5 linked regions of the Xenopus tropicalis genome follow. The protein of the gene in region 2 interacts with the protein of the main gene of each other region in a biochemical or structural test. Links are inferred from orthologs where the notes say so. Each region holds a gene or a part of one and is shown on either strand. Other genes may lie near its edges.

What was found.
Region 1: the proteins of smad2 (region 2) and smurf2 form a complex in vitro, tested with the Homo sapiens proteins (3 studies listed by BioGRID and IntAct, with this or other methods). The link is inferred for Xenopus tropicalis from reciprocal best matches to the Homo sapiens genes SMAD2 and SMURF2.
Region 3: the proteins of smad2 (region 2) and erbin form a complex in vitro, tested with the Homo sapiens proteins (2 studies listed by BioGRID). The link is inferred for Xenopus tropicalis from reciprocal best matches to the Homo sapiens genes SMAD2 and ERBIN.
Region 4: the proteins of smad2 (region 2) and ski form a complex in vitro, tested with the Homo sapiens proteins (4 studies listed by BioGRID). The link is inferred for Xenopus tropicalis from reciprocal best matches to the Homo sapiens genes SMAD2 and SKI.
Region 5: the proteins of smad2 (region 2) and zfyve9 are reported together in a solved structure, tested with the Homo sapiens proteins (2 studies listed by BioGRID and IntAct, with this or other methods). The link is inferred for Xenopus tropicalis from reciprocal best matches to the Homo sapiens genes SMAD2 and ZFYVE9.

Annotation. Positions count from the first base shown.
Region 1 is NC_030686.2:51,464,704-51,468,741, reverse strand, and holds part of smurf2 (E3 ubiquitin-protein ligase SMURF2), read right to left. Parts: intron 2,789-4,038; coding exon 2,668-2,788; intron 1,289-2,667; coding exon 1,087-1,288; intron 410-1,086; coding exon 334-409; intron 1-333. UniProt on the Homo sapiens protein: E3 ubiquitin-protein ligase which accepts ubiquitin from an E2 ubiquitin-conjugating enzyme in the form of a thioester and then directly transfers the ubiquitin to targeted substrates.
Region 2 is NC_030677.2:206,088,472-206,093,224, forward strand, and holds the start of smad2 (mothers against decapentaplegic homolog 2), read left to right. Parts: upstream 1-1,658; 5' UTR 1,659-1,766; exon of another isoform or gene 1,767-2,029; intron 2,030-4,753. UniProt on the Homo sapiens protein: Receptor-regulated SMAD (R-SMAD) that is an intracellular signal transducer and transcriptional modulator activated by TGF-beta (transforming growth factor) and activin type 1 receptor kinases.
Region 3 is NC_030677.2:187,512,322-187,516,359, reverse strand, and holds part of erbin (erbin), read left to right. Parts: intron 1-2,040; coding exon 2,041-2,187; intron 2,188-4,038. UniProt on the Homo sapiens protein: Acts as an adapter for the receptor ERBB2, in epithelia. By binding the unphosphorylated 'Tyr-1248' of receptor ERBB2, it may contribute to stabilize this unphosphorylated state.
Region 4 is NC_030683.2:91,191,798-91,195,835, forward strand, and holds part of ski (ski oncogene), read right to left. Parts: intron 3,697-4,038; coding exon 3,466-3,696; intron 2,408-3,465; coding exon 2,219-2,407; 3' UTR 1-2,218. UniProt on the Homo sapiens protein: May play a role in terminal differentiation of skeletal muscle cells but not in the determination of cells to the myogenic lineage. Functions as a repressor of TGF-beta signaling.
Region 5 is NC_030680.2:96,608,057-96,612,094, reverse strand, and holds part of zfyve9 (zinc finger FYVE domain-containing protein 9), read right to left. Parts: intron 3,973-4,038; coding exon 3,822-3,972; intron 3,607-3,821; coding exon 3,526-3,606; intron 3,015-3,525; coding exon 2,852-3,014; intron 1,442-2,851; coding exon 1,336-1,441; intron 1-1,335. UniProt on the Homo sapiens protein: Early endosomal protein that functions to recruit SMAD2/SMAD3 to intracellular membranes and to the TGF-beta receptor.

The sequences.
Region 1 (4,038 bases), on a different chromosome or scaffold from region 2:
GGGGGGGGGTAAGAAGGCTTGGGGGGGGGGTAAGAAGGCTTGGGGGGGGGGTAAGAAGGCTTGGGGGGGGGTAAGAAGGCTTGGGGGGGTAAGAAGGCTTGGAGGGGGGTAAGAAGGCTTGGGGGGGTAAGAAGGCTTGGGGGGGGTAAGAAGGCTTGGGGGGGGTAAGAAGGCTTGGGGGGGGTAAGAAGGCTTGGGGGGGTAAGAAGGCTTGGGGGGGGTAAGAAGGCTTGGGGGGGGTAAGAAGGCTTGGAGGGGGTAAGAAGGCTTGGAGGGGGGGTAAGAAGGCTTGGAGGGGGGTAAGAAGGCTTGGAGGGGGGTAAGAAGGCTTACCAGGTATGAGCCTTGGGTAGGTTGTTAGTGCTGGCGTCGATCTGGTGAATGGTGAAAAGTCTCGGCCCCGCAGCACCTGCCCGTAACAAGGGAGAATTAGATCAGCCAATACCAGCACAGGATTCCCACAATACCCTGCAGTGAGAGGCCCCGCCCACAGAAACTCAGGCACTCCATGGAACTCGCCCCCTCTGCCCCCGGCACTCCATGGAACTCGCCCCCTCTGCCCCCGGCACTCCATGGAACTCGCCCCCTCTGCCCCCGGCACTCCATGGAACTCGCCCCCTCTGCCCCCGGCACTCCATGGAACTCGCCCCCTCTGCCCCCGGCACTCCATGGAACTCGCCCCCTCTGCCCCCGGCACTCCATGGAACTCGCCCCCTCTGCCCCCGGCACTCCATGGAACTCGCCCCCTCTGCCCCTGGCACTCCATGGAACTCGCCCCCTCTGCCCCCGGCACTCCATGGAACTCGCCCCCTCTGCCCCCGGCACTCCATGGAACTCGCCCCCTCTGCCCCCGGCACTCCATGGAACTCGCCCCCTCTGCCCCCGGCACTCCATGGAACTCGCCCCCTCTGCCCCCGGCACTCCATGGAACTCGCCCCCTCTGCCCCCGGCACTCCATGGAACTCGCCCCCTCTGCCCCCGGCACTCCATGGAACTCGCCCCCTCTGCCCCCGGCACTCCATGGAACTCGCCCCCAAATGAAATGGGGAGGAGCTTATTTGGGGTATATTTGGGCCCAGTACCTACCCTGTAATGCCTTAAAGCCCTGGAGGGGGACGCGGGAGGAGCCGGTGACAAACTGCAGCAGCCGGGCCCTTCGCTCTTCATCAAACGACTCCACCGCTTTCCAGAACCATTTCACGATGTTACTGTCAGCCGTGCAGTGTTTTAGCCGCGTGTTCGACTTCCAGTCATTCACATCGATCTTCCCCAGGCCGCAGATAATCAGCTGCAACAACAACACGGGGATGAGTTTGTCTGAAGCACCACAGGGGGTAAGTTACTCTCGGCCCGGCGCATTTGTATAGCAGGAAAAGAACAAGAGCATAACAAAGGGAAAGGTCCAGGGCCGGATGGGATTCATCCCAGGGTATTAATTGGGCTCAGCGCTGTGATTGCCAAACCTCTTCCCTTAATTTCCCAGGATTCCCTGAGGTCGGGCATGGTGCCGAGAGACTGGCCAATTGCTAATGTGGTGCCGTTATTTAAACAGCGATCCCGCTCTCAGCCTGAAAACTATAGGCCTGTTAGTCTGACATCAGTAGTAGGAAAGCTTCTGGAAGGGGTAATAAGGGATAGGATAGTTGAATACATTGCAGTTCACAATACTATTAGTTTGTGCCACAGGGGTTTATGGGTAACAGATCTGACTCATTTAGTCGCCTTTATGAGGAGGTGAGTAGGAACCTTGATGCTGGAATGGCAGTGGATGGGATCTACTTGGACTTTGCTAAAGCGTTTGATACAGTACCTCACAGAGGGTTAATGATCAAATTAAGGAATATTGGCCTAGAACATAATATTTGTAATTGGATAGAGAACTGGCTGAAGGATAGAGTACAAAGAGTGGGGGGAAATGGAACAGTTTCTAATTGGGCCAGTGTGGTTAGTGGGTACCGCAAGGGTCAGTCCTTGGGCCAGTGTGGTTAGTGGGTACCGCAGGGGTCAGTCCTTGGACCAGTGTGGTTAGTGGGTACCGCAGGGGTCAGTCCTTGGACCAGTGTGGTTAGTGGGTACCGCAGGGGTCAGTCCTTGGGCCAGTGTGGTTAGTGGGTACCGCAGGGGTCAGTCCTTGGGCCAGTGTGGTTAGTGGGTACCGCAGGGGTCAGTCCTTGGACCAGTGTGGTTAGTGGGTACCGCAGGGGTCAGTCCTTGGGCCAGTGTGGTTAGTGGGTACCGCAGGGGTCAGTCCTTGGACCAGTGTGGTTAGTGGGTACCGCAGGGGTCAGTCCTTGGGCCAGTGTGGTTAGTGGGTACCGCAGGGGTCAGTCCTTGGGCCTTTGCTTGTTTATTAATGCCCTGGGGGGGGGGGCACAGACGGTACTGTTGTATTTTTGCTGGCGACACTAAATTGGGCAGAACTATAAGTTCCATGCAGGGTGCGGAGATTATAAAAGACCCCCAGAAACACACCTTTCATACAAACACCGTATGGGAACTTACTACTGAGAAAACATTTATGGTTTTAGTTAATGAGGGCAAGTTGTAGTTTAACTAAGGGGGAGTTTTCTGGCCGGGGGGGTTGGTATTTGTGGCACCCAGAGCCCCCCCAGGCTGTGTGTATGGGCCTGAGGCACCCACTCCCGGGCTAATGGCCGACTCACTCACCTCTAGTTCCTTTTCATCAAATGCTTTCAGCAAGTGCTGGGGAATCACCTCGTTAAACCCCTTCTGCAGAGCCAGAAACTGCGCCTCGATCCCCCGCAGGAACCGCCAGTTCACATACAGCCTGAAACGAAGGGTTAATATTGTCTGTAGCAGTATGGCAGCACTCCAGATATGGCACAGAGGCTAGAAGGTTGGCACTGAGGCTATAAGATACGGCACTGAGGCTATAAGATACGGCACTGAGGCTATAAGATACGGCACTGAGGCTATAAGATCTGGCACTGAGGCTATAAGATCTGGCACTGAGGCTATAAGATCTGGCACTGAGGCTATAAGATCTGGCACTGAGGCTATAAGATCTGGCACTGAGGCTATAAGATACGGCACTGAGGCTATAAGATACGGCACTGTGGCTATAAGACTGGCACTGAGGCTATAAGACTGGCACTGAGGCTATAAGATCTGGCACTGAGGCTATAAGATCTGGCACTGAGGCTATAAGATACGGCACTGAGGCTATAAGATCTGGCACTGAGGCTATAAGATACGGCACTGAGGCTATAAGATCTGGCACTGAGGCTATAAGATACGGCACTGAGGCTATAAGACTGGCACTGAGGCTATAAGATCTGGCACTGAGGCTATAAGATCTGGCACTGAGGCTATAAGATACGGCACTGAGGCTATAAGACTGGCACTGAGGCTATAAGATACGGCACTGAGGCTATAAGATACGGCACTGAGGCTATAAGACTGGCACTGAGGCTATAAGACTGGCACTGAGGCTATAAGGTTGGCACTGAGGCTATAAGGTTGGCACTGAGGCTATAAGGTTGGCACTGAGGCTATAAGACTGGCACTGAGGCTATAAGACTGGCACTGAGGCTATAAGATCTGGCACTGAGGCTATAAGACTGGCACTGAGGCTATAAGATCTGGCACTGAGGCTATAAGACTGGCACTGAGGCTATAAGACTGGCACTGAGGCTATAAGATACGGCACTGAGGCTATAAGATACGGCACTGAGGCTATAAGGTTGGCATTGAGGCTATAAGATACGGCACTGTGGCTATAAGATCTGGCACTGAGGCTATAAGGTTGGCACTGAGGCTATAAGATCTGGCACTGAGGCTATAAGATCTGGCACTGAGGCTATAAGACTGGCACTGAGGCTATAAGACTGGCACTGAGGCTATAAGACTGGCACTGAGGCTATAAGATCTGGCACTGAGGCTATAAGATACGGCACTGAGGCTATAAGATACGGCACTGAGGCTATAAGATCTGGCACTGAGGCTATAAGATCTGGGCACTGAGGCTATAAGATCTGGCACTGAGGCTATAAGATCTGGCACTGAGGCTATAAGATC
Region 2 (4,753 bases):
ACATTAACCCCTCAAACTCACATTTTTGCCCCCAAATGGAAGCAACTATAAGTAAGTATACATTTCCACGCTTATATTTGGGGGCAAAGATGTGATTTCTTAAGATTCTATCACATTGTATTTTGTCCCACCAATCCCAATTAAACCCAATGCTTATTACTTTTGGGGGGACTACAAATTCTTTTCCCTTTGTGAAACTATTCCTACCCCATAGCTCAGTTGTAGGCAGGGCTCTAGTAATGCTGCACACATTCTCAGCTCAGTCAATCATAAAAAAGCCCCAAGGAGGGCAAAAATGAGAAGATTTTGTGTAACATGTCCACCCAGGCCTGGACTGGCAATCTGTGGGTTCTGGCAAATGCCCACTTGTACCGCCCAGACCACTCCCTGTTCCACCCAGACCACTCCCTGTTCCACCCAGACCACTCCCTGTTCCACCCAGACCACACCCACTGTTTAATGCCCACACCAAGTATGGCAGATATAGGGACTGTAAGGCACATTTTACATACACGTAAAAGCAAAGTTGCTCCCAATAACCTGGAAATTGAAATGAAATTGGTATTAACCACACAGTTGAAACTATAACTCTCACACCTCAGATACATGTAGGGCTGCCCCTTGTTTTGTTATCATCAAGTACATTATTGTTACAGAAAGTAAAATGAGAAAAAAAGCTTTTTTAAATTAGCATCGCTGTATTTCAGAGCTTTCTGGATAACTGGTTTCTGTATAACAGATCCTTTGCCTTTAATGAAAGGCTTGGACTTACTGAAATCCAGCCAATAGCGTCATAGTGATGTAATAACTCTGCCCTGACATCATAACCAGGCCAGGCATTATTGTGTCTGCCTCTGATGTCATCATACACACCCCCAGCATCACTGCCCCGCCCCTGAATCCATCTGCCCCACCCCCTTTGTTTGGCTTTGCCCACAGCAAAGATGGCAACTCTAGATACAAGTAGTATGGGGCCAAGGGATTGGTCATAAGGCATTTCCCACAACACAACCCCAAACCGCCTGACCAGATACCCAGGCTCTAAGGGCAGCTGCTGTTCAATTGAACCAATTAAATTGAGATGGCATTGTCTGTGGCCCTGCATCCCAGGGGCCCTTGGGGGGAGGAGTAACTACAATTACAAAGAATTTAAAACACTGAATTCTTGTTTGTATCATCAGTATTTACATCATGGACGGGCAATCTGCCACTATTAAGGAAACTACAACTCCCAGAATCCTGCACAACCCCACCTTTTATCTAAGTTCCAATTAAGTTAAGAGGGCAGCAAACTGGCTTCATATTTCTTTATAGTAAACGAAAATATTAAACTCTATATGTAAAAGTTTCCACACCACAGTCATTTATATTCTACTAAACAGCTTCCCCGTTTCTGCGCAGGCGCACTCTTCCGCTTTCGATCGTCCCTCACCTGTCAATCACTCAGAAACCTTGAGAAGCCACGCCAAACCCGTCGCGCCGGAGTGGGCCGGCCCTCTCACTTCTCGCCACACCTTCAGATCTATACGCGACACACGTCACTCGGCCCAGTGGACGCCTTCAGCGAACGTAGATTGGGCGGAGCTCCAGTCCTATCAAATATAATTTAATAAAAATGACGTGAAGGGGGGGTGGTTTGAGGTGGAAGCGATTGACAGCACGTTGCTCCAATCAGCGTTCGCTTTATGCCTCCGGCCGCCAATAGGCCGTAGTGATTGACAAAGGAGGGCGGAGCCAGCGGCTGTGGCGAGGCTGAGGTTGGCCGGGTGAGAGAGCGGCGCGGTTCGGTGTGTGAGGAGCGGTGTGTGGGGGAGAGAAGGGGGACTAAGGATAACAATAATATATAGAGAAAGGGGAACAGGAACCCGGTGCCCGCTGGGGCTTTGGGGGCCGAGGCGCTAAGGGCCCGTCTGTATGAGCGGGGGCTTCCTCTGCCGCCATCTTGGTTCGGGGTCGTTGTTGCGTATTTCCCCCTCCTCCCTCCTGTCCAGTTAGGCCTGACCGGGCCGGGGAGCCGCCACATCTTCAGGTAATTGCACTTGCCGGCCTTTCGGCCTCTGTAGCGGGCGCTGAGCATGCTGGGAGTCGTAGTTCCACGATTGCTGGAGGCGGACGCGCTAGGGAGCTATTGGCCGGTCTGTAGTTTAAACGGAGAATAAACCCGAATGATAACTGTTCATTACTGTATAGATCAATAACCTCTGTCTTATAGCTGCTGGAGGATTATGGGAGTTGTAGTTCTGTAACAGCTGGCTGGATCCCTGGGAACATATGCTGCTGGGCTTCTGATCCCTATTCACCCATTTTCTCATATTTATGGGACTTTCTAAGTGCTCAGTTGTCAGTTCTTTCAGAATTTCTATAGTCAGAAATCAATGTCCTGTGTCTGTTCCATGGTCTGCACTTGGGCCTGGCCTTCTGATTGGCTGAGCCTGCTGGAGTTTGGTGCTGTTAAAAGTGGATCTACCCCCCCCAAATTCTAAGCAACTTTCCATTATACATTATTCATACTTTATTATTATAGAAACATGGTCTGTGCTTTGGTGTTCCTTCCAGCCTTGCGCGGCTGCCTTCTGCTGTGTTGCTTCGAAAGTCAGAACCTGCAGTGCAGAAGGGGGCAGACAAGTGCTGCGTTGAGTTGCAATTCTTCTTACAACTTTATGGGTGAAGACACACAGAGCTACTTAGTAGCAGCTACTTGTCACAGCTACTAAAGGCCAGAAAATCCCCTGCCATAGACAATACTGAGAATTGCCTCTGCTAAACCACACGTAGAGACAATTATCAGTAAATGATCAGCATTGTCTATTTTAGTAGCCGCAACAAGTAGCTGCTACTAGTAGCTCTGTGTGTCTTCAGCCTAAATCTATTGCGTTCCGTAATGACTGTACATTGGAGAGTTTTCTTTCTTTCTGTCTATTCTTTCTTAAGGCGAAGACACACAGAGCTACTTAGTAGCAGCTACTTGTCACGGCTGCTAACAGCCAGAAAATCCTCTGCCATAGACAATACTGAGAATTGCCTCTGCTAAACCACACGTAGAGACAATTATCAGTAAATGATCAGCATTGTCTATTTTAGTAGCCGCAACAAGTAGCTGCTACTAGTAGCTCTGTGTGTCTTCAGCCTAAATCTATTGCGTTCCGTAATGACTGTACATTGGAGAGTTTTCTTTCTTTCTGTCTATTCTTTCTTAAGGCGAAGACACACAGAGCTACTTAGTAGCAGCTACTTGTCACAGCTACAAAACGCCAGAAAATCCCCTGCCATAGACAATACTGAGAATTGCCTCTGCTAAACACACGTAGAGATAATTATCAGTAAATGATCAGCATTGTCTATTTTAGTAGCCGCAACAAGTAGCTGCTACTAGTAGCTCTGTGTGTCTTCACCCTAAATCTATTGCATTCTGTAATGACTGTACATTGAAGAGTTTTCTTTCTTTGTGTCTATTCTTTCTAAAGGTCCCCATACACTGGCAGATCTGCTCGCGTGGTGATGTCGCCAAGCGAGCGGATCTTCTCCCGATATCCCCACCTACAGGTGGGCGATATCGGGAGAATCCAGGCCCTGGGGCCAAATGATCAAATTTTAATGATGGGTATAGGTAAAGTCGATCTGGAGACCGCATCAACGAGCTGATGTGGTCCCCGATCCGACTAGATTTTCTAACCTGCCCGATTTCAGGCCAGATATTGGTCGGGCAGGCCTGTCCGAAGTGCCCATACACGGGCCGATTAGCTGCCGAATCGGTCTAAGGGACTGATATCAGCAGCTACTATCGGTCCGTGTATGGGGGCCTTAAAGACGAAGACACAAGGAGCTACTCAATAGCAGCTACTTGTCATGGCTACTAAACACCAGAAAATCCCCTGCCATAGACAATACTGAGAATTGCCTCTGCTAAAACACACGTAAAGACAATTATCAGTAAATGATCAGCATTGTCTATTTTAGTATCCGTGACAAGTAGCTGCTACTAGTAGCTCTATGTGTCTTCCCCCTTATGCTGCAGTTAGTCTGTTTATCATGCAATATAGCAGTTGTGTGATTAATGTCCACACATGGAATGAAAGAATCTAACCAAGATTTGATACATGTTGGCTATTTAAAAACCAAATATACATTGTTTCTTGGGTAACCACTATGATTCTGCTGCTTTTTAGACCAATGCTCATTAGAGAGGTGACATGCAGAATGGCTGCTTTTCCACTGTCTTAAATACATTTCCAGCAGATATGGCGCATAGGCTGTCAGCCTTAAGTGCACCCCAAAACTCTATACTCTATATCCCTTTACTCTAGGGATCAGGGCTATTGAGTTTAAATTGTGGGAATGATGCAGAACAGTTGCAGAGAATGACTGGCCTATTGACTTGCAATGACAGGAAAGTTACATACTTAGCTGACAAGAAATAGGTTTATTTACCCTTTATAAAGCCTGTATCTATGACACTTTCAGTAGCATGTACATATACTGAGTTGCTGGGGGGGGGGGGGGGGAACAGCAGTGGTCAAAACACTCCTGTTTTACTCACTATAAATCAGCTGTGATTTAGTAAGTGTGCTGTTAGTGTATTATTGTACCTGTGTGTGTGTTTGTGTGGCTTCCCAATATAGTTCATTTTGTCAACGTGTTACAGGCCTGTTTGCTTTTACTGTGGGGCTCAGTCTCCTGCTAATCACAACCTATTGTATCCCACCCCCCCTCCCCCAGCAGTGTTTACATTCCTGGCTGACCCTCCCCCTGGTGT
Region 3 (4,038 bases), about 19 Mb from region 2:
AAACCGACTGATTAGGGTTTTCCAGATAAGGGTTCTTTCCATAGTTCGGATCTCCTACCTTAAGTCTGCTAATAAAATTATTTAAACAGTAAATAAACCCAATAGGATTGTTTTGGCTCCAATAAAGATTAATTATATCTTAGTTGGGATCAAAGTACAAGGTACTGTTTTATTATTACAGAGAGAAAGGAAATCATTTTTAAAAATGTGAATTATTTAATTAAAATGGAGTCTATGGGAGATTGCCTTCCCATAATTCGGACGATTCTGGATAATGGGTTTCCGGATAAGGGGTCCGATACCTGTAATTCATTTCTATAAGCTCAGTATTTAATGAGTGGATCTTTCCCCATTGTGCACACCTTTAAGGTGGGTGATATTGGATTAATCCAGTCATTTGGCCCTCGGGCCAGATAATCAAATCACATTGAGAGGATGTAGGCCGTTGGGACAAGAATCATATCAGTGATTCCATGCACTCCTTACAGGGATTTTTATACCTGCCCAATCGATATCTGGCTAATTTTCAACCAGATATCAGTCAGGGCCCCAATACACAGGCCAGTAAGCTGCCAGCTCGGTCCAGCAGAAGCTTTTACCAGCCCATGTATGGCCCCCTTTAGACATTCAGCTACCCCAGGCTGCAGCCAAGCTGATAAAAGGTAGATTGTTCTTCCATAAACCATTTTTTCCATTTGCTCCATTATAGAACAATTTTGCAGGAGAGGGTAACAACTTACTGCCTTTCCCAGTGTAAACGTATGACATTCTAATACTAGCTCCACCTCCTTAATTACTCTTTCAGTTGAATAAAGAGAAATGAATTATACAAAGGGAGAAAACATTGTGTTTAAATCATTTCCCTATTATGTATGTTATGTTATGTATATTCATACATACTCATATGTAAGTCATAATGAGAGATATATGAGAATAAGGTCTATAGAATTGCATGCCAGCTTTGGATATAACAGCTCTCACACCTACAATGGCTGTAATGCATAGTGAGCTGGGAAGGTTGCATGTTCTAATGGCTTCTAGCGTTCAAGCATAAGCAAACCTTGCTGTACAGTAATGCACACTACCGGCCACGGCAGCAATAACCAACCTGAATCTGCCACCTGAATATCTGGAAACTGTAGGAAAGGTGCTATGTGGTGTATCTCTGTACACAAGCCATCTATGTTTGGTGTATCACTGTGTGTACAAGCTACCTGTGTATCTCCTCTGACACCTGCACTGCTTCTGTGTACCTGTGTGCCTTGGTGCCTGGGTTACCTGTGTTTTTGGGTACCTGTGTGTGCGCCTGTGTGCTTGGGTGCCTGTGTGTGTGTGTGTGCTTGGGTTACCTGTGTGCTTGGGTACCTGTGTGTGTGTGTGCTTGGGTACCTGTGTGTGCCTGTGTGTTTGGGTTACCTGTGTGCTTTGGTTACCTGTGTGCTTTGGTTACCTGTGTGCTTGGTTACCTGTGTGCTTGGGTACCTGTGTGCTTGGGTACCTGTGTGCTTGGGTACCTGTGTGCTTGGGTACCTGTGTGCTTGGGTACCTGTGTGCTTGGGTACCTGTGTGCTTGGGTACCTGTGTGCTTGGGTTACCTGTGTGCTTGGGTACCTGTGTGTGTGCGCCTGTGTGCTTGGGTACCTGTGTGTGTGCGCCTGTGTGCTTGGGTACCTGTGTGTGTGCTCCTGTGTGCTTGGGTACCTGGGTGTGTGCGCCTGTGTGCTTGGGTACCTGGGTGTGTGCGCCTGTGTGCTTGGGTACCTGTGTGTGTGCGCCTGTGTGCTTGGGTACCTGTGTGTGAGTGTGTGTGTGCGCGCACGTGCCTGTGTGTTTGGGTACCTGTGTGTGTGTGCGCACACGCCTGTGTGCTTGGGTACCTGTGTGCGCGCCTGTGTGCTTGGGTTACCTGTGTGTGTGCTTGGGTGCCTGGGCATCTGCATGCCATACCTGCTTGCCTGTCCGAGTGCTTCAGTAATAACCTGTTGTGTTGTTAATGCATGCCTCACTAACCCATGTTGTTCCATCTGTCCCTTTATTCAGAGCATGCTGTCTAGGTCCTTTAATTCCACTTTCAGTGCAACTAGCAGCTCTCTCTATGGCAGCTGTAGAGATCTGCATGGCAGCCAGGGCAGTGTTGCCTTGAGTGTTGCTCCTGACAGAAGAGCTTCTGGTGGGCACATACTACGTGTGAGTAACAACTTACAGTAGCTTTTGTAGGACTGCAAATTTATAATGTGCCAGGATAATGCACCATATTGGGCTCAGTAACACATATATGTCATGTAGCAAGTCATATTTCCTAACCATGAACACTGGCTTATCTAATGGCTTGAAGAGGCATTCCCCATCCCACCCATTACTGGGATACACCAGTGATGCCTTAGTAATTATTCATCTATTACCTGCACTATTAGTTTAATGACTTATGGACTATTTGTTCTATAAACTTCCCATATCTTCCATATGGGCTTCCGACCCAAACATTATTATCATTGCAGTGGGCAGCACTAGTGTTTGGGGTCCATTTCAAGGATAGTGCTTCTTCTGAAATACAGAATGTTCTTCAGTCCTTCAGTGACATGGCGGACAGGTAACAAGCTTTAATGAGACTTGTGGGACTGCCAGGAGAATATGCCTTGCTCATTGTACTCTAACTACTAACATGATGTATGTTTCATTACTGATCCCTTTTAAACTAAATTCACTAACTGTTTCTAAAAGTTTAATTACAACCCAAATACTTATCCTACAGCTATGACTGGTTTAGATTCTAACTCTTCTAGGTTTTGGTTACTAACAAAAATACTATCTTTTCTACAAATCCAAATGTTCCTCTAAGATGGGGCAGTTTGTGGTGCAAAACTAGGGTATAACTATTTAAGGATCAGAGTGACTGCTGGATTTCCATAAAAGTGTTGTCTAAACAAATTACTAATTGTAAAGGAGAAGAAAGGTAAAAACTAAGTAAGCTTTATCAGAAAGGTCTATATAAATACAGCCATAAGCGCTCACAGAAACGCTGCACTGAGTCCTCTATCAAAAGAAATACAGGATTTCTTGTCTCCTTGTCCTCCGCTGTATTTATATATAGGCACCCAGGGACCTTTAACTAGGGTGGCAGCTTTAGTGGGTAGACCTCAGGGGCCCATATATTTGTTAACATTTTAAAAGCAGCTGCCAGATTATACCTGATCAAATCCAGTGGTGGAGCTGGAGGGGTGAGGTGCAGAGGGTAGAGAGTGAGGGGCAAAATTCATGTCACTTCTGCAAGCTAAGGGTGCTTTTTAGGGTGGCACGGGACCTAAATACAGCCCTGTACGTATTAGTATTGAGAAACTATTTTTGTGATGGTTTTGCATCACCCACTGATCAGGGAAAATCCAGGTTCTAACTGTAACAGGAAGAAATGTGGGAATATAAGCCACACCTCTCCATCCATTCATTGGCTGGTGTAACCTAGCCTGTATGTGTCCTTGATTTGTGTGTCAGCACATACTATTAAAAATTGCTGTAGAGTGGAGTTTGCCTTTAACTGAGATTTATCTTATGTCTGCTTCTGTGACTGGGCCCATATATTACCGGTAAGGATTGGTCCAATCAATCTGACCTTAAAGGGACAGTATACCCTTTTTCAACATGTGTTCAGTGAATAGGGCTTGTGCTGAACATACGTTTTGCCTATTTTTTTTAATTAGGAAATATATAAGGATTTTGTTGTGTCTCAGTGGCTGCTGGTTAGTTTGACTGTGCCACACACTGGTGCCCCACTGTGCATGCCATTCAGAGGCACAATGTAGGGAGCAATGGTAAGAAGACCTTAGATCCGGCACTCAGTGCAGAGACCAGCAATCCCTAATTTTCAATCTTAATTTTTTGTCAGTATCACTTTAATATATAGTGTACTTTTGCCCTTCACTGGTTAATGTTGTGTGCAGCTATTCAAATTGAAAAAAAGTAGAAAAGGCAGAGGTTACATAGCAGATAACTGATAAGCTTGTAGATTCACATTATTCTACAGAGATTATCTCTTATCTGCTA
Region 4 (4,038 bases), on a different chromosome or scaffold from region 2:
AAAATTTTGCATTGGCTATCATATGGTTACAAAGCAGTTCATTTTTTTTTTTTACACTTGTTTATATATTGTTGATTTTTTTTATTACAATATAAAAAGTAGACTTCAATGATAAAAGTGGAAAAAGCAACCAATGCAAGCAAAGCTTACTAAGACCTTTTAAGAGTGTAAAAACTGTAACTGTTTTAGCACCGGGGCTGAATTTTCACCAGTTTTTATCAATGCCAACTTGCAAACCTTTGGTTTTTAAACATGATTTTATCCAACAGGATTCCTTGCAGCCCTCTCCAAAAAATTATACTCCAATAAAAATCAAGTTACTTGCAACTCATCCCAAAGGCATATTAAGATACATTGCTTTTCCTAAAATCCTTTATCATGTTATAGTAAAGAAAATGCCATCAACAACAGCTTTGTCCAGCCACCTTGATAATCAGTCAGTTATTAAATGTGAGGAGTGGATTCAGTCAAGAGTAGCAATGTTCATTTAAGTTGCTAAATAACTATAATTTGAGGATAGGGCACCACATTTTTCCCACAGTTTAAAGATGTACATCAAAAACTATAAGTGTGAACTGTTCTATATGAATTTCTCTACCATGACTTCCCAAGGTGCACATGCTGGTGCCCTGCAGGATATAATGGCTTGTATTGGTTAGTTTGTCACATATTAGTTAAGAGAATCAAATGGGTTGATGGGGAGGCATTGGAAGGTATTATTGCATATTTTATTGTGCTTTATTTGTATATTTCACTATTAAATAATAGCTCTTACTCCGTATGCATGACTGAAAAGGCCAAGAGCAAAAAAGTGCAGTCTTTAAAGTTGAATACATAAGTACATTACAAATAGAGGAAAGAAATGTTACACGGAATTTGTTTTCATTAGTGGTGAGGCCTCATTCTCAAAATATAGCAATTTATATAATATCCGATTCCTAGCCCCCAGTGTATTTTCTGCCCATTCTGGTATTCTACATTGTGCCAAACTGATAACCAATGGCAAATACCTCAGTGCACAGAGGGGTGAAAATATAGATTAAATACTGAATTCAGCAAATATGTTTGTAACAAAAAACAGTTTACCATAAATCCGATATATATATATATATATATATATATCTCCAAATACTAGCATCATTCTTTCCACAAAGTTTGACAGTCCATGTTAATGTTACAAAATCCGTCCTTATCTTTTTCCCTTTATGGTGGTGGATTGAACATTTAAACACATATGCCCAAAGATCATTTTCTATTATGATGAGATGAAACACTGGTCAGTAAAGCCGAGCAGTTTCTTTTTTTTCTCTCTGTAGCCCTGGAAAGTTGTTATCCTACATAGTTACAAACATTTGTCCTTGTGAGATTAATATAATATATATATATATATATATATATATATATATATATATATATATATATATATATATATATATATATATATATATATATTATATATATATATATAAAATATTTTTAAAAATTTAAATAAAAACCAAGATGGAGCACTCTGATTTTTTTTTTGTTTGATGGAAAAGTCCATAAATGATAGGGAATAATAGTGATGGCTTGCTACAAGTACATTGCACAATCGACATGAATAGTATGGAGACTGGGGGGAGGGGGGTGGGGGGGGAGTAAGGAGTAGAGGGTGCTTCTATAAGAAACCCCAAAGCTTGTAACAAGTCAGATAAAATTGTGCATCAAGGTTTTTAAGTCCATTATACAAAAATCTTGTCTGATAGTTTTTTTTTTCTTTTCTTCTATTTTCAATACACAGTCTTTTGAAGGTCCTCAACATTTTAATATATCTTTTTATATTAAATAGCTTATAAGAAAATGTAAATCCCAAAGTGTTCCAAGCAAGCAGCTTTGCTGGATGCAGTTGTTCTCTTGTAGTTGACTTGTAGAAAAAAAAATGGTTTCACTGGAGAGCCAAAAGGACTCTATATAAACACTCTGAGGCACAGTAAGATGTTGTGCTGTGTAGATTTAAAAGAGGCATAGTTCAGTGCTTCTGTTGTATAGAGTAACATTTTCCCTCTGACTAGTAAGTTTTTTTTTTTTCTTTTTAGCGTGCCCCAAGGCACACGCTCCATACACTCACACATGCACCTATTCATGCATACGTCGCGCATTCTCCTCCTTTTCCTGTGCATATACGTAAAATTCTGTATATGAATAGATAAGGTATTTATTTTTCTTAAAAGTTTTTGAATTAGTTTTCAATGTCTTTCCTTGTGTGTTCACTGCTGGGAAGATGGCTGGTCTTCGACCAGAGCTGTTCCTGGAGGTCTTTCACCACTTTTTCCAAGTGTTCTCTGGCTTCTCGTTCTTGTACTAGATCTGTCCGTAGCTGTTCTCTGTCATTTTCTGCATGCTGAAGCTTAGACTGTAGCTCCTCAATCTGAAATTTAAAGAAAACATTTTCAGTATTTCATGTGGTTTCATCACAAGCAAATACTCCACCTTTGAAGTAATAAACAAACTCCTTTTTTTTTTTTTTTTATCTGTCGTTTACTGCCCATTCCACAAAGCAGAGTGTACAGAGCAAAGCACATCTTGGAATAAAACTGGTCATATCAGTAATCAATAATCTGTTTCTTGCAGGACAAAACAAATCCAAAAAAAGGATGATGGGAGGGGTTGTATAATGGCAACCTAAACATTGTCCTCAAAAAGTAGAAACATTGATTCTTTAGACCTTTAGATTCTCTACTTAGCTCAAGTAATAACAAAAATATGTCAAAATGTCAAAAAGACATTAGGCAAAAAGGATGTTCAGCACAAGCTGTATTCGTTACACTCATGTAGCACAAGAGAGACGTAATGTGTGCATAATAGATTGCAGATTCATTTAAACTGCATGTGAACTGTTTTTGGAAAAACTTGTGGGCCACGCAAGAGTACCTAAAAGCAGCATCATTAGGGAGACAGGCAACCCTGAGATTTCAAGGTAACTCTGGGCTAGAAAAACATTCTGATAAGCCAAGTTTCCTGATCAGGACCCAGCTGCAGCTTTGTATTATGTAAAGATGGAAGTAAGCAGGTAACACCCTTAATACAGTTCTTACTCTGGTAATGTTTAGTCTGGATGCCTCTTATCAGCCTAGTGCTGAAGAGGAAGTCCACATCATTTCCTGCTTCTGGTCTCCTAAGTTTGGCATGTCTCACATCAGTAGAATGAGTGCACACCCCTTCCCGTTATTGACTGAGCATTTTCAAAGAAATGCAATGTCTCTAAGCTGTTTAAAAGAATGCTGCATATATTTTTTTTCAGCATGGCAAGAAAATTATTAACAAACAAATCAGTAGGAGCAAACCAGCTGCGGAAAGACTGTTGAAACTAGAAGATTAGAGCACTTTATTTAACCCGACTAACACAGTGGACCGAATAAAAAAAATATACAGATATTAAGCATGTTGGTAAGATACATGGTTTTATTTAAAGCACTAAATGATTACCTGGGCGGAGTATTTGACCCGTATCCTGCCAGCTTCACAGCCTTTGTCACACACCCTAATCTGTCTGGCTTGCTCCAGCTCTCTTTTCAGACGTAACCGAGATTCATTTGCTTCTTTCATTTTCTTTTCATTCTCTGCCCTCAGACGCTCAATCTCTTTTCTTAAGTTGCGCTTTGCCTCAGTCGCCTCTCTTAACTTTTCTTTTTTAGCAACTCGCAGGAACTCCAACTCCTGCAGCAAGAAAAAAAAAATCAAGAATATAATTAGTACTGATCTATGATCAATGCAGTGCAAAGAATCGATTGCTTGACTTTGACAGTAATATTATATGAGAGATTTTAGATTAGATTGAAACACAAAATACATATGCATAGTTAATAAATCTTTAGGTAAGTGCCATAAAAAATAAGCACAGAGGAAGATCTTTTAGAAAACGCATCCAACATTTTAACTTGCCCTAATGCTATTGAGTAGTTAGACAGGAATTCTGCACATACAAAACATGTTTGCAGTTGAATACAAATGCATTATAAGCTTCTATAGTTCCTAGTTGGTATTGTTGTTGTTATAAAG
Region 5 (4,038 bases), on a different chromosome or scaffold from region 2:
CTTAATGTGCTTCTTCTTGAGCCACTCCTTTGTTGCCTTTGCTGTATGTTTTGGGTCATTGTCGTGCTGGAACACCCATCCACGACCCATTTTCAGTTTCCTGGCAGAGGGAAGGAGGTTGTCGTTCAGGATTTCACGATACATGGCTCCGTCCATTTTCCCGTTAATGCGAATAAGTTGTCCTGTGCCCTTAGCAGAAAAACACCCCCAAAGCAAAATGTTTCCACCCCCATGCTTGACGGTGGGGACGGTGTTTTGGGGGTCATAGGCAGCATTTTTCTTCCTCCAAACACAGCGAGTTGAGTTAATGCCAAAGAGCTATTTTGGTCTCATCAGACCACAGCACCTTCTCCCAGTCACTCACAGTATCATTCAGGTGTTCATTGGCAAACTTCAGACGGGCCTGCACATGTGCCTTCTTGAGCAGGGGGACCTTGCGAGCCCTGCAGGATTTTAATCCATTGCGGTGTAATGTGTTTCCAATGGTTTTCTTGGTGACTGTGGTCCCTGCTAATTTGAGGTCATTAACTAACTCCTCCCGTGTAGTTCTAGGATGCTTTTTCACCTTTCTCAGAATCATTGACACCCCACGAGGTGAGATCTTGCGTGGAGCCCCAGAGCGAGGTCGATTGATGGTCATTTTGTGCTCCTTCCATTTTCGAACAATCGCACCAACAGTTGTCACCTTCTCTCCCAGCTTCTTGCTAATGGTTTTGTAGCCCATTCCAGCCTTGTGCAGGTCTACAATTTTGTCTCTGACATCCTTGGACAGCTCTTTGGTCTTTCCCATGTTGGAGAGTTTGGAGTCTGCTTGATTGATTGATTCTGTGGACAGGTGTCTTTTATACAGGTGACTAGTTAAGACAGGTGTCCTTAATGAGGTTGACTAATTGAGTAGAAGTGTCTAACCACTCTGTGGGAGCCAGAACTCTTAATGGTTGGTAGGGGTTCAAAAACTTATTTCACTCAATGAAATGCAAATCAGTTGCTATCTTTTATTTAAAGTTATTTTTTCGATTTTCCTTTTGATGTGCTATCTGCCACTGTTAAAATAAACCTACCAGTAAAATGATACTGTTCTGAGACTTTTCATTTCTTTGTCATTGGACAAACTTACAAAATCAGTGAGGGGTCAAATAATTATTTCCTCCACTGTATCTCCTGTCATAAACAACTTTTCCAACCTAGCCAACCAGGGTTTGGAATGCCTGATCCAGGAGGTTTAAAGGAGAGTACCAAATTGCTGTCAATTGCTGTCAAACTGCAGTTTCCTGAACACTCCAAATTGAGCATATATATGCATTTCCTTTAGCATCATCCATTTTCACTGCATACCTCTGTCCAGCGAATGATTTTACCACTAGCTTTGTATTCTGAGCCATGAAAAATCTTGACACTGGTCACAGACTCCATTGATTTGCCATCAATCGGACTAAAAACGCTGCACCAGAATAAAGGACACAGGTGAAAAAAGGGTTAGAGTTTGATTCAGTTGACTTATTCTGTTTAAATACAAACACTTTATTGCAATATAATTAAAGTGGAATGAATATGAAGAAGCCTCCCTTCAACAAAACACATCAGAGTAAAGACTCTCCTAGGGCAGTATACTGTAGCCATAAAACTACTAGCCATTCCTCTTCTGGCAATACTCATAAAATTCATGCTGTATTTAGAGATTCTAAATTGTAGGATATTCCAGTGATATATACTGCTTATTGCTACTTATTACGATGAGGTTCAAAGTGGATAAATGTTAAATAATGCATCTACTAACAAACAAGCTAGAAATACTTTAAGCTATTTCTATTTCAGTGCCAGACATGGCACTCCAGAATTTGTACCTGTATAAAAGGAGCATTTCATTCAAGAGATGCAAGCACAAGTCTGCCTATTATTAATTGGACATACCATCATGGGTATGCAGTACACTTTTGGCACCCAACTTAAAGGCACCTTAAGCTGGCCATACACTGAAAGATCCTCTTGTTTGGCAAGGTCCCTTATATTCTCACCTTGAGGTGGGCAATATCTGCTTGATGCAATCACTGACCCTCGAGCAAAACGATCGGATTACATTGACAGAGGTGCAGGCCATTAGGCAAGGACCTCATCAACAAGCTGATGCACTCCTCACCCCAACAGGATTTAATTCCCAATAAATTTTAACTCTGCATGATCAACAGCTGGCCAATTTCGAGCCAGGTATCGGTTAGCAGGCCTATATGAAACCCTGTGTATGGCCACCTTAAAGGAAAACTATACAATACTTAAAGGAATACTTAACCAATACATAGGTCACTTAACATAATATAAACTATTAAAGAATCTCGCCAAACTGGAATATATTTATCAGTAAATATTGCCCTTTTACATCCTTTCCCTTGATCCGCCATTTAGTAATGGGCTTTGTTCTCCCTCAGTGATCACATGACAAAGAAATAATGCAGCTCTAAATGTAACAGGAAGAAGTGTGGAAGCAAATGGAAGAACTCTGTTCATTAACTGGCTGATGTGGCCTAGCATGTATGTGTGCCTTGGCTTGTTTGTGTGCGCTGTGAATCCTATGATCCTAGGAGGTGGCCCTTAATCTATTTAGGATTACCCAATAGCACATACTACTAAAAAAGTATAATTTTCTAAAACTGGTTTATTTAGATGAAGCAGGGTTTTACATATGAGCTTGTTTATGCAATGTATTTTTATAGAGACCTACAATGTTTGGGGGATACAATCAATGCATTCTCTGATAAACCCTTTTCCTAAAAGGATTGTGCAAATGCCGAGTGGACACCCTCTGAGATCAGTGGGAAACCAAGTGAGTCATTGATGGGGTTCAAAGATTTCTTACCCTTTGTTGAAATTCTTGTCATCCTCCACCCACTGGACATAGACATGCTCCTGTGTCTCCTCTGCATCAGCTTTTCCACATGTAATGGTGAAGTCCTTCATCTCCCTAAGGGACTGTCTGAGGGCATCCATGCTCTCTGCGGTGATCTGAACCATTACCCCATCTGGGACACAGAAGGGCTTGCATCATGTGGTGGAAGATACATTCACATTTTTAAAACATGGATATTTTTTGAATATCCATGTTTGTAATAAAGTATTATTAATGTAAAAATTTAAACTCTTCTGCCAATAAACCTTTAAATCAAGTCTCAACAGGAATGCACCAAATCCCTAATTTTTTGGATTTGGCCAAATCCTCCACAAAACATTTGTCTGAAAAACAAACCAAATAGGGACCCTAACTTGAATTTTTGAATCTGAAAAAATAAGCATCATCTGTGAACAGCCAACAGTTCAGCCAGAACTTTAAATTCATATGACTTTAAGGGTTTGACCAAAGCACTAAGGATTTTACCATATCCTTAATTATGCAAACAGTGATGCATACTGGCTAAATCTTGGTGCATCCATAATTTCAGCTTAGCTAATACAACTATCTAATGTATAATGCCACACAGTAAGAATTTTCCAGACCTTGGTAAATGTGACAAAGCTTAGGTTTTTATATTTTACCTTCTACAATGCTGGATTTGGCCAGGTAGCCGGAAGAAGACTTTAGAGCCCCACTGAAGACAAAAAAGCTGGCCCCAGTCACTAAAATTACAAAAGAAGACTCAATGGTTAATGTGTTGCTTTTAGAGGGTGTTAACATAGACGGACAACATTAAGGAGGAATCATCCCATTATATTGAGTTCCTCAAACTTGTATTCTGTGTAAAAATTATATTGCGACAGAATCCAAACAAATAAAATATGTAAGTTAATAACTTTCCTGGCAATGCCAGGTGAGTATGTTACATCCTTCTCACCTTTACGTGGCTGTTTGTGGATACTAATGGCCTGGGTCTGGTAATTGCCATCATCATTCTGCACACACACAAGGTGAGAGTCAGCCATCTGATTGAAGCATGCACCTATGGCAAGCACATGCTCATTGGATTTGTTCATCGCTTTCATCATCTGTGGGTAACAATGACATAAGTGCCCTCACATATCATCATAAAAACAGTTTCTGTCTAGTGCAAA